Drosophila melanogaster: one gene and its partner. The protein of the gene in region 1 purifies or fractionates together with the protein of each later gene. This does not show direct contact. Each region holds a gene or a part of one and is shown in the gene's direction. Other genes may lie near its edges.

Region 1 (7,406 bases):
TACCCAGGCGATGTACATAATAACAGAACCATAATACGGCGATCGATCGATCCGGATATCTATGTATTTATGTGAGACGCAACTGTAGCCCCTGCCACACTCCGCCGGAAATTAGCTGACCCACGTCACTTCTTCCCCGTTCCTTCTTTCGCACGTTGTGTGCCCTATTTTCCCCTCCCATGTAGGACATTCTCAATCACATCAGCGTATACAAGCTTTAAGCAAGTCATTGCATGTGCCACGCCCCCTCGAACTGAACTGAACTCAACGCCCAACCCGCCCAGCATGAGTCCCGCAGCAAATACATTCCCTCCATCCCCCCACCATCCGTCATCCGCCAGAGGAACCAGTCGAGGAGCTCGGAAATTGAACGTAGAACAGATTCCTTTTGTAGATAGAAAACGAAACAGTTGTTGGGAGATGGTAACCAGACGAATGTCGAATGACAAACGATAAATAATGATAAACTAAACTAAAGTTCTAAACAAAACAAAACACAGTAAAATCGCACAGAAGCGCACGCATTACAAAATACAAAAACCTGCAACGGTCGTTTTAAACGCTCCGTTCAGTTGTCTCAAAGAAACGAGTAAACGATAATAAGTGCATAACGAAAACCTTCTTTAGTCTAAGTTGCTCAAAGGATAAAGTATTTTGATAGAACCGGAAAGGATCGAGAAACAAACCAATAAACCACAAAGAATCGAATTGAATCGTAACGAAACAAAGGCCCCAAACGTGTAACGAATTTCCAACAAATTGTTGCAAGTGTTTTCCTAGAATTAGTCCTAATTAAACTAAATGTGTGCAAATCGAAGCGTAACTAATATTACAATTAATCTAAACTAATTGAGGAAACATAAACCTAAACATAAATCGGATAACAACATCTAAGCTGGGTAGTCGCATGTAAATCTCTAACAATTAACAATTACCGACCTAAGTTAGACCTAAAAATCGAAACAAAATCGAATCGCATTTAAAGAAATCTACATAATAATAATAATTTATACTAATCTATATATACTTATATGTATGCTGTATGTATGTATGACCCTATATGTATATGTAAAATGTTTTTGACTATTTTTCACTATTTATATTCATATATATTATATATGCATATACGATACATGTGTAATAGCCCCTTTTGGTCATTTTAGTTGTCTTTTATATATATTTAATACGTGTATTATTTTTATTAATTATTCAAGTATAACTATGCGCACCAATTAAACGCATACCTTATGTATAACCTATTGACAAATATATATATATATATTATGTGTAATAGCTGTTGCTAAACCAAGTTTAATTATCAGTTTTTTATTTAACCTTTTTCCGGCGAAGCTTTCGACGGTTCACAGCCGCAAAATTGTGTTCAGCTAATTAATTAGGAAGAGAACGTGTCCCGAGCAATAATGGGGGAAATGACAATTATAATATTCATTTCTGTGTGTAACAATTATTTCCTAATAAAATTGACAAAGAAAAATGTTTAAAATTAAACGAGTTTGTGTTTTGCAACTATGTCGATCCATAAAAGGTGCAGATTCTGTATGATTTGCAATTCCACGTTTTAAATACTTTTTAGCTTGTAATTGGGGAGTTTAAAATGTTTAAAAATCCAATTGAGTCCCGCCAGTTACAAAGTTATTTTACGGAAATCAGTTGAGGACGGCGGTTCTTGAGCTCTACAATATCGAGTAAAAAGCAATAAACGAGTAAAAGCTAAAATAATAATAACGGTAGTCCTTTGTGATGTTGCTAGGATTTTAAATTTAAATTATTTTTAACTTCCGGCGTTGCACAAGTCTGGCAACTCTGAGTTTCACAATTTTGGTATTTTCATACTGTCGGCGATAACTTGTCGATGACATATCGACCTGCTTTTGCCACCTCTAGCCATAGCAATTCGCGCGCTTTTTTCTTCGACAGTCTTTAAAACTGCGGGAAAATAACTTGTGGCGTTCGCAGGCGGAAGAAAATAATATAATTAAATAAGCGTATCATCCAGCGTACGAGCCATGGATGTAGACTTCGGCGCGCAGGCGGGGCAGTCCTACCGCACGGTGCAGCTTTCCGCGAAAGAAGTGCTCGCTGCTGGCCGCCGTCAGCATTATTGCAACGTAAGTAGGGCACCCAATTGCAGCGCCAAGTATGTATCTCACTATAGCTCCGGCCCCCCACCTATATTTCCATGTGCACCACCAGATGATCGACTTGTTGGCCAGCAGCTGCAAAAGCTCCGGTTTGATAGCCACTTCCTTTACGGATGACGAACTGGTGGAGTTCTGGCTGGGAGATATCCTGCCGCTTATGTTCGATGCGGACCGAAAGATCCAGGACTGTGCCGTGGCAGCTCTTGCGGAGGCACTGGTGGCTCTTGACGTGTCCGTTATCCACTCGGCCAAGTGCTGGCCTCAGATCCGCAGTGAATTTGTCGACAAATACACCATCATCATCGGGGAGATGCGCGATGCTAAGAACTCCAACTGGCACAAAATATGGACGCTGCTGGTACAAATCATGGACGAGGATTTGCTCAGGGGCTGTGTATATATCAACAAATTCTTGGCTCTGGTTGAATTGGGCTTCCGCAACCCGGATAATGGTGTGCGGTCGGAGGCATTTCTTTGCTGGCGCGTGCTCATCAAGATCTTTGCCGCCTACGACGAACTGACATCCGCGAAGAGGCTTCGTTTGCTGCTGATCCCCCTGCGCACTTCACAATCGCGATCCTCGCACGTGAGTGGCATCAAGTTGCGAGTGTGGTGGTATCTGCTCAGCTGCCTGGACCACGAGTTACCCAAGTCTTTTGACAGCGCCGTGGAGCACTTTTTGGCTTTTATGCTAGGCGGAGGTCCACGAAATCTGGCTACGGGTCTGGCGCACAACTACCAGACGGCTCGGGAGTTGGCCCTGCCCTGCCTTGTGGCCCTTTGGGGCGTGGAGTCCAGTGAACCGTTGCAGCGTCTAATGAGAGAGCTACGCTTGGAGACCTTGGTCCAGCCCTCGCCTCTGATGAGCGTAGAGGTATTCCAACAGCATTGGAAACCTCTTTTGGCCGCTGCCGTTTCCGGTTTAAAGTTGCTTACCGAGAACGATGCCACAGAAGCGGAACAACTCCTGCTGCAGTTGCTCGTGCGGAATCTGTGCCTTGCCATGTTTCGGTTGGCAGTTGCTCCCTTCAATGTGGCGTGCTGCAGTGAAATCGAGAAAATCCTGCAGGCTGAAGATAACTCCGGTGGCCGAGTTGTACGCGCTCTTTTCAATACCATAGCCGCAGATAACTTGGTAATGGAGCGTGTGTCTGGAAGCGACCATCTTGATGTTCTGGAGGCCTACTTGAAACTTGTACTGAAATCCAAGACAGAAGTTCCGGCAGCAATTCTGCAGCGAAGTATCGCATGCATTTTCGCAGTCGATCGTATCGAGGCGAACAATCAGAACGAGTTCCGGATGCTGGGCTCCTTCGCTGAGCTTCTGATGCAGGCCAACGACGAAGAGGACTTTGAGGGATTCGCATTCAAGCTGCAGGTGTGGCGACAGGTGTCGCAGGCGTTGTCCAACTATCTGCGAAACAATGCGCTTGAATACCGTGTGGCACACAACGCTTCCCTTTTGGACACTTGGCTTTTATGGCCACTTCAGACACTGGCTGCCTTTGCGGGACGGCGTGCTAGCAACTCCTTCGATGCCTCTTTTTGCGATCAATGGCGCCAACTGGTAAACGCAGGCCAAAACGCGCCGGGGAGGAAGAAGTTCTTGACGGACCTGAAAGCCACACTTACAGACCTCCTAAAGAGCAAGGATGAACCGCTCTTTGCAGAGCTCTTCGATGCTTATGTGACCTCCTTAATCAAGTTTGGACTCTGTAAGGAGGCACCTTTGTATAAGGACGTTTTTGGGCTACTTCAAACCATTTTCGAGCAGCCCTCCTCCCAGAAAACGCTCGAAGCCTGTTTAAACACCCTCCGCAACCTGGTGGTGGAGTTGCGGCAAAACGAACTAATGGTAGTGTTCGATTCATTGAAACCAACATTGTCTTCTGGCATCCAGTGCTGGAATAAGATGAAGTGCGAAGGCGGATTCTTGGAGGAGTGGAAGCGGGGAATTCAAGAAAAGTTTCGCAAGCTACCCATGAAGACGATGGCCAATCAGCTCAAAGAACTCTTTAAGGCAGATGATCTCTTCGTGATCATCCCATCAGTGTGGAGTCTGAATCCAGAGAAGCTGACGGATCGTCAAAAGGAGCGCTTCGCTGAAAAGTCGGACATTCCAGCTCTGTACAATGATATGTCGCAGTCTCAGGACTCGGCTTCCATTAAGCCCTGGACCCCTAAGAAGGTGGTTATTGCAAAGAGCAAACAGGGTGAGCTGGCCTTAACCGGCAAGGATGACAACGGCGAGGTGATCGATATAACGGCCAGCGAGGAGTCTGAGAAGGAACCAGTGAGAGTTGACGTAGTTACACCCATCCGAAAGAAACCGGGGCGTAAGTCCCAAGCTCAAAAAGAACTCGAGGCCGCTGCCAGGGCTGCTTCTCTTGCCGAGGAGCCGCCAAAGCGTCAGACGCGAACACGGGCGGCTCAAAAAGAAACGGAACAGGTGGCTCAGCCACAGCCAGCGTTTGAACCACAGCTCAGATCGCCAAAGAAATTGCCACCGTCCCCGGTCGTTCAATCTACAGCAGGTACGTGAAACAAGTAACAGGTGAGCTAAGGATGTTAATCCCAACACTTGAATTTTTGCAGCTGCCGTTAAGCAGGCAAAGGTTGCAAAACCCACCCCCGTTGTGGTAATCGCGCAGAGCGAGGATCTTTTCCCGGAAGTCGCAGCTGAGCCAGAGCCTCAGCCAGAACCGGTTAAGAAACCCGACCCTGTTCCAGAAACAACACAACTGACCCCGCCTGATGTACCCTTGGAAGCTGTACCCTCTACCCAACTGCCTGGAAGCAGCGGAGATCCTGCCGCTTCTGCGGGGGCTGTGGCTGCCGGTGAGATGTCTCCAAAGAAATCAGGCACGCGAATATACAATTTGGTAAGTAAATCGCATTAGACTTGGTTAAAACGGTTACTTTATTACAATGTTTTTATGAACTTTTTTAATTTCCGCCTTCTTTTCGCAGAGCTCTCCACCTGATCGCAAGCAGACAAACAACTCCTCGAGTCCAACATTGCGGCCCAAGCCCACGGGACATCTGACTGGACGCGGTGCTCAGTTGATCAATATGATTCGCAACAAGAAGCTGGACGCTGCTTCCGGCTCGCCGTATGCGTGCATGTCTACTTCGCGCCTGGTTCACCAAGTGACGCCGGCCCGTGCCCAGGATCGCGCCGAGCAGGTGTCCACTCCCACCAGCGAGCTAAACGAGCTGACGGGCACGGATCACACTTCCACACCGATTCAGGCACCTCCCTCGAAGGATCTATTGGTGTTTTCCAAACGACTGCCATCCCCATCGGCCAGTCCCTCCGTAAGCATCTTGAAGCGCAAGCTACGATGCGAAAGTCTCGATGATGTTACTCTGGACTCGCCGGCTCTAAAGCGTAAGCGAGTTAGTTTCCACGACCCACCGGTGTCCGTCACCAAGGAGTATCTACGCGATGCTGAGGAGACGCGCAGCAGTTTGAAGCCCAAACGCTGTCTGCTTATGGACAAGGTGGCCCAGACCACCGAGATGCGCCAGGCGTTGAGGAGACGTGGTCGGTTAGACAGCATAATCGAAATAGAGCGTTTCGCTAGCGAACAGACGGCCAGAACAGCGACGACGGACAAGAGCCTGGACAAATCCACTGGCGAAGCACCCGAGGAGGATGCTTTCACCAGCTTAAAGTGGAACGACACAGGCAACGCGCACAACATTAGCATATCCGAAGAACCCGTCAAGGCGATGGAAGTGGAGTCTGAACTCGAGACAGCCGGCCAGGATCTAGCCATCATGGATCCAGAAGCCGCTCTTGATCTGGCGGTGGCGCAATTACCGCTGGAGTCGGTTTTGCAGCGCTACTTTGACAAGAGTCCGCTGAAGAGCGCCGGCATGTTGGCTAAGTTTCTGTCCGCCCAAATGACGGCAAACGAAAAACTTAAGACCAACGTGCTAGAGACTCTGTCGGAGAACCACTCCAAGGATTTCCTGGACCACGCTGTGCGCGAGAATCTGTCGTCGGTGGTGTGCGACCGCCTGAACCCGACCTCTGTGCTGGAGTACGTATGCGCCAAGTCCAAGATCAGCGCAAGTTGCCGCAACGGGCTGCTGGCCCAGGTACCCGAAATTCTGAAAAGCGGCCCACGTTCCGATTCTGAGCGCCTGGCCTTCGTACAACAACTGATGGTGCAGTGCAGCCCCGGTGACGACCTGCTCCTCGATCTCATTGACCTTCTGATGCGTACGCGTCGGGAGCGGAACAACAGCACCTCCACTCACATCTCCAAGGGCGTCGTATCCGCCGTTGGAAGCCCTGACAACGTGGCCGAGACCGCGGCCGACTCCTCATCAAACTTATAGATTGGACCTGACTTGAAATTACGAATGAAATATTAAGCACTTGGCCATTGAACTCGATTAAGTATGGGAAGTTCGATTGTAACTAGTTGGTTCTAGATAGTTAAGTTTAAATTGCATTATGTTTAAGATTTATATTATGCCCGTTGGTGTATTATGTTTTGCTGCAAAAACTTGCTTCATATTCTTACAATAAATTTAATATTTTATTATTATAAAAAGTAGAAAGTCATCAATATATTAGATAATATATATATATTGGTGGGAGAACTTATTTATTTTTAAGTACATCGATCATAATTCCTATAGATAAAGGAAAACAGCAAAAGGAACGAATTTGATAAGAAAACCCAGACAATTATTTTAACTTGTTTTCGAATTAAAATTAGTGTATTTAACTCTGGGAGTTCATATACTCAAAAGTCCACACTGCAGACAATGTTACCTAAAATCGTAATCGATTGCCATATAATCTAGGGAAATCTTATCAGTACGTCAAAAGTGACGTGACAGATACGTTTCCCATCAGGCAGATAAATAATTAGTATGATTTGTGTTAACTTCGTGTTAGCTATTCAGCGAGTTCAATGGTACATTGATCAAATATTGTCAGGTAATCATGATGGAATTGAAACGACTATTCTGAGTGATAAAGTGGTGCTGAATAGGTGTAGGGCATTCCAAAGTCTTAGAGTTGCGCTTTTTAGGTGCTTGTGATTATGCTGGATACTTTTGGGGGTCAGGTAGTGGCACCTTCAGTGGAGGGCAAGCTCCACGTAGAAACCTCCACTGGTGCCGGCCCAACCCTATCTGGTTGATTTGTTGTTCTGGTCGCGGCAAAGTCAAATTACCCCGCCATGTCCGCCGCATCCATTGATAATGTTCACGTGCTAGCAA
Region 2 (4,717 bases), on another chromosome or scaffold:
GAGGCATGGGAACTGAAGAGAGTTTGAAGTTGGTGATGGCTGTAGTCAGAGCTTTTAATTCTTGCGGCTCTAGGGAGCAGCGATGATCGGAGCCCTTCTGACTCTTGTCCAGCGTAAAGTGGCGCTCCACTATGCGTGCTCCCAGCAAGACGGCGGCCTGGCTAATGATCACTCCCAGCTCATGACCCGAGTACCCAATTGCCACATTGGGAAAGCGTGTCCTTAAGACGGATATCAACTGCAAGCTGCAATCTTTTGGGTCAGTTGGGTACGATGAAACGCAGTGCATTAGAGCGTAGTCCTCTTTTCCTGACTCCCGCATAGTTTGCACAATCCTCTCCACAGTTTGCATAGTCTGCATTCCGGTGGAGATCACCAGGGGCAAGTTCAAATTGGCGGCCTTTTTGAGAAGCGGAAAGTTGTTTGCGTCTCCGGAACCAATTTTGATGAAGGGAACATTTAGAGCAGAAAGGAACTCCAACGATCTCTGTTTAAAATAGCATATACACACATTAATAACTATTTAAGCAAGAAACAAGGGAAAAAAGGAATTGTTAGTAGTAGTAATTGGTTAACAATTAATTAATATCAACCTCATCCATGGCGGAAGCCGTAAAGTCCACATTTAACTCCTTGCAGTGGGCCTGCAGCTGGAGATACTGATCTTTGGAGAACTCCAGGTACTCCTTGTGCTCCCCGTACGTTTTTCCCCAGGCGTGATCACTGATATATTCGCGATCTAGAGCGGATCTCGTAAACTTTGCTGGCAAATCCGATTTTTGAAACTTGACGCAGTGGCAACCGGCTTTTTTGGCCTCCCATATCATTTTCTTCGCTGTTTCCACACAACCTTGGTGATTTTGGCCAATTTCCGCTATAATATAGACGGAATCAACTAATTTTCCGCTTATGATATCGTTTAACAGCATTTTGATTAAATTGAAACCCGCCTATTTAACAGTTAATTAAATGATTAGCGGGCGTAGGCAGGAAATGCATAGAGTATCGAATTATCGATAACAAGACATGAGCACATTTCATACAAAATTTTTACATAGTGTGATTGTTAATATATCTATCAATATATTATTTAGTTTTGTGAGAATTTAAGGGAAATTTGGCATTTTAAATCATAACTCATGTGGAAGTTATTCCAATAAGGAAAATGAATTAACCTATGTTCTGTAAACGAATATTCTTATTGGCTTATTTGAATTTCCAATGTATTTAAATATCCCCTTGTTACCGGTATATCGAATAGCCTCGCCAAATGCATCAGTCTCCCATCTCTTTTCCACAGTAAGTCATGCCAGGCGTGCCTGAGTGCAAGCGGGATGGCTAGTGTCCCCCTGATCAGGCTGCCACACCGCTGAAATAGAGTAACTGGACGCCATGCGTTTAATCGATTACTAACAGCAGTTTCGAGCCACTATAGGGTCGAGAAGACCCGTTTCGAATGAAAATATAAAAGTAGAGCTATTGCGGAACTCTTGCAATGGATTGGAAATGTCCTTAATGTAATAAGAGTAATATTACAGCAACTTCGTTATCGATTATGCACTATATTTGCATGTTATCGATTAGATAAGATGGCGTCTATTATCTGGCCATATCCGCGACTTCCGGCAGTGTGGCAACATCAGCTAGAAGCACACTCGCCATCCCGCCCGCACTCACGCAACAGCATACGAAGAAATTTTCATACTTGTTAGCTGTGAAAAGTATTTAGCAGAAATAGATTTCGGAAATTAAAGATTTCGAGGCTATTTCGGCGCTACCAACGATCGTTCGCGGTAACCTCGACACCCAACAGCAGCACTAGTGCACCAGATCCACACTTTCGCACGCAAACATGGGCGACGTGATGAATATCGACAGCATAATATCGCGACTTCTCGAGGTGCGTGGGGCACGGCCAGGTAAAAACGTACAGCTCTCGGAGGGCGAGATCCGGGGACTTTGCTTGAAGTCGCGCGAGATCTTCCTGTCGCAGCCCATTCTGCTCGAGCTAGAGGCACCGTTGAAGATCTGCGGCGACATCCATGGACAGTACTACGATCTGTTGCGTCTGTTCGAGTACGGCGGCTTTCCGCCGGAATCGAATTACCTGTTCCTCGGCGACTACGTCGATCGCGGCAAGCAATCGCTGGAGACGATCTGCCTGCTGCTCGCCTACAAGATCAAATACTCGGAGAATTTCTTCCTGCTGCGCGGCAACCACGAATGCGCCAGCATTAATCGCATATACGGATTCTACGACGAATGCAAGCGTCGCTACAGCATCAAGTTGTGGAAGACATTCACGGACTGCTTCAACTGCCTGCCAGTGGCGGCCATTGTCGACGAGAAGATCTTCTGCTGCCACGGTGGTCTCAGTCCCGATTTGACCTCCATGGAGCAGATCCGTCGCATTATGCGGCCAACCGATGTGCCCGACCAGGGACTGCTGTGCGATCTCCTGTGGTCCGATCCCGATAAGGATACCATGGGCTGGGGCGAAAACGACCGCGGCGTTAGCTTCACCTTCGGTGCCGAGGTGGTGGCCAAGTTTTTGCAGAAGCACGAGTTCGATCTCATCTGCCGAGCCCATCAAGTCGTCGAGGATGGGTACGAGTTCTTTGCCAAACGCATGCTGGTCACCCTGTTCTCGGCGCCCAACTACTGCGGCGAGTTCGACAATGCCGGCGCCATGATGTCCGTGGACGATACGCTGATGTGCTCGTTCCAAATCCTCAAGCCAGCCGACAAGCGTAAAAAGTAATATCACACAACTGCAGCACCACGAGCAGTCTTTTTCTATCTAAAACAGATCAATAAGAAATCCAAACAAGATACAAAAGATAAACACGACAAAAACAACCACAAACCCAACCACACAATCAACCAGAAATAAAATCCTTTGAAACAACACATCAAATGATGCATGAAACGTAAGTATGGGCTGCTGACGCAGAGTAACAAACTAGTGAATCACACTCTCACCCCAACCTTATCTCTGTTTTTGGTCACTTTTATCATCGGCAGCCGGGGCGAGTCGAAATCCACAAGAAATTGCACCATTAATTTGGTATGGAATAGCAGCGCCACGATCAAAGGACATCCCCAGAGACATCCCTTCCAGCAGATGACTGCAGTTTTCCCCTTCCACCCCACACCCATTGAGATTTAAATCGCAATTACAAACACATTGACAAATACCATGATTAAAAGCCACATATTTATTTGTAATAGCCCCCGTATATATATATATATATGTATATCTACCGACCGACCAACCATTCACCCACGCACACACATGTACACACATTTGAACACCAGCGCTTTTATAGGTTTTGTCCAAAATTTAAACACTAGGTTAATCAACTGACCGTTCGAGCAGAGCACCAAGCGCATAACCATGCAGATTAGATGGAAACGGAGCAGCAGAGGAGCGACTGGACGCCAGTCGGTCACAAAGCATACAGATGTGGGGGCCCTGTAGTGCTCGTTGGCCTTAAGAGTATAGAGCAAGTGAAAACAAAACAAGAAACAAAAAATCGAAGAGGGGAAATCGTTGAACCGAGGAGGTGGAGGCGAATGCTTGCCAAGAAGTATAAAGAGGAATTATAAGCACTAAGTTTCGACCTTGAATCAGTTTTTTTTTTGTTCGTCCACAATGCAGTCCGACCGAATGGACCAGCCAGCCAGCCAGCCAGAGAAATATCTGCAAGAAAATCAGCGAAATATATTAGTTTGTCCCTAAAACTCCTTACCATTCATCAGCTATTCAAACGTCCGCTTCCCGTCATTTTAAGGATGTGTTTTTTAAAAATTAACTATTATTAATATGTATTATCAATAATCCTTTGTATTAATAAACAAATGATATAAAACGTGTATGAATTATGAAACTGATTTCAATAAACACATTTGAAAAATCCATAATACGCTGCATGCGCTCATGCTTTATTTCGCTTTATTTACATGTAAATTCCGGAAAATACTTAACATTTCTTCTAAATGAATGCGTTCTAAATGGGATGTTTTTGTTTTTACGTTTGGTGTGTGCTGGCACGTGCTGCTGTCATCTGAGATCTACTCACTGGAGCCACTGGCTTCAGCTTGGACGGTTGGGCTTGGCTGTGCGGCTTCATCGGTGGTCACCACCGAGTTCCCCTCAATCTGGCAGGCCTCCACAGCGGCAGTTATCTCCGCAACGTCCGCCGAACTTTCGTTAGGTTTCTCCAGCTCAGTCTCGCCGTTCTCCTGCTGCTGCTGCTGCTGCTGCTGCTCCGCCGCCTCAGTGGACTCGGCCACGGTCTGTGGCGCCTCCGTTGCGACCACTACTTCACTTGAAGCCACTGGCTGATGACCCTGGAGCACGTCGGGATTGATGCCGTTGATGATGGCGCGCAGACGCTGGATCTCCTCGTTGGCCAGCTGCAGATCCTGCTGCAGGCGCTCGTACTTGTCGTGCTGGTGGCGCACCACGCCGATGTGGTTACGGATGTAGTCCATGGGATTCTCGGGCCGCTCCTTGATCACGCGTATGAAGAGCTTGGTCAGCGAGTCCAGGACGCTGCCGCGCTCTAGATAGCGCCGGATCTCGTCGCGCTTCGGGTCAATGGGCTGTGTCATTGCGGGAGACTCTTGTTTAGCCAATGGCAATCAGTTTTTGGACAAAAGCTCACCTTAAAGGACATCTTTGCAAAATGGAGATGTGCGGTGTGGCTGTGGG

The links.
Region 2: the proteins of Rif1 (region 1) and Pp1-87B purify together in Drosophila melanogaster (affinity purification with western blotting; 2 studies listed by BioGRID). This does not show direct contact.

What each region holds. Positions count from the first base shown.
Region 1 is NT_033778.4:15,863,628-15,871,033, reverse strand, and holds Rif1 (Rap1 interacting factor 1), read left to right. Parts: upstream 1-1,886; 5' UTR 1,887-2,027; coding exon 2,028-2,129; intron 2,130-2,214; coding exon 2,215-4,696; intron 4,697-4,757; coding exon 4,758-5,044; intron 5,045-5,132; coding exon 5,133-6,512; 3' UTR 6,513-6,725; downstream 6,726-7,406. UniProt on the Drosophila melanogaster protein: Regulates the timing of initiation of DNA replication. Functions in copy number control by promoting the underreplication of DNA, which is found in many late replicating euchromatic regions of salivary gland polytene chromosomes.
Region 2 is NT_033777.3:12,422,824-12,427,540, reverse strand, and holds Pp1-87B (protein phosphatase 1 at 87B), read left to right. Parts: upstream 1-1,623; 5' UTR 1,624-1,852; coding exon 1,853-2,761; 3' UTR 2,762-2,930; intron 2,931-3,024; 3' UTR 3,025-3,920; downstream 3,921-4,717. Other genes in the region: NANS (N-acetylneuraminic acid synthase), read right to left, coding at 1-487, 594-929; CG17202 (uncharacterized protein), read right to left, coding at 4,075-4,608, 4,671-4,682. UniProt on the Drosophila melanogaster protein: Is essential for the regulation of mitotic chromosomal segregation as well as regulation of chromatin condensation during interphase.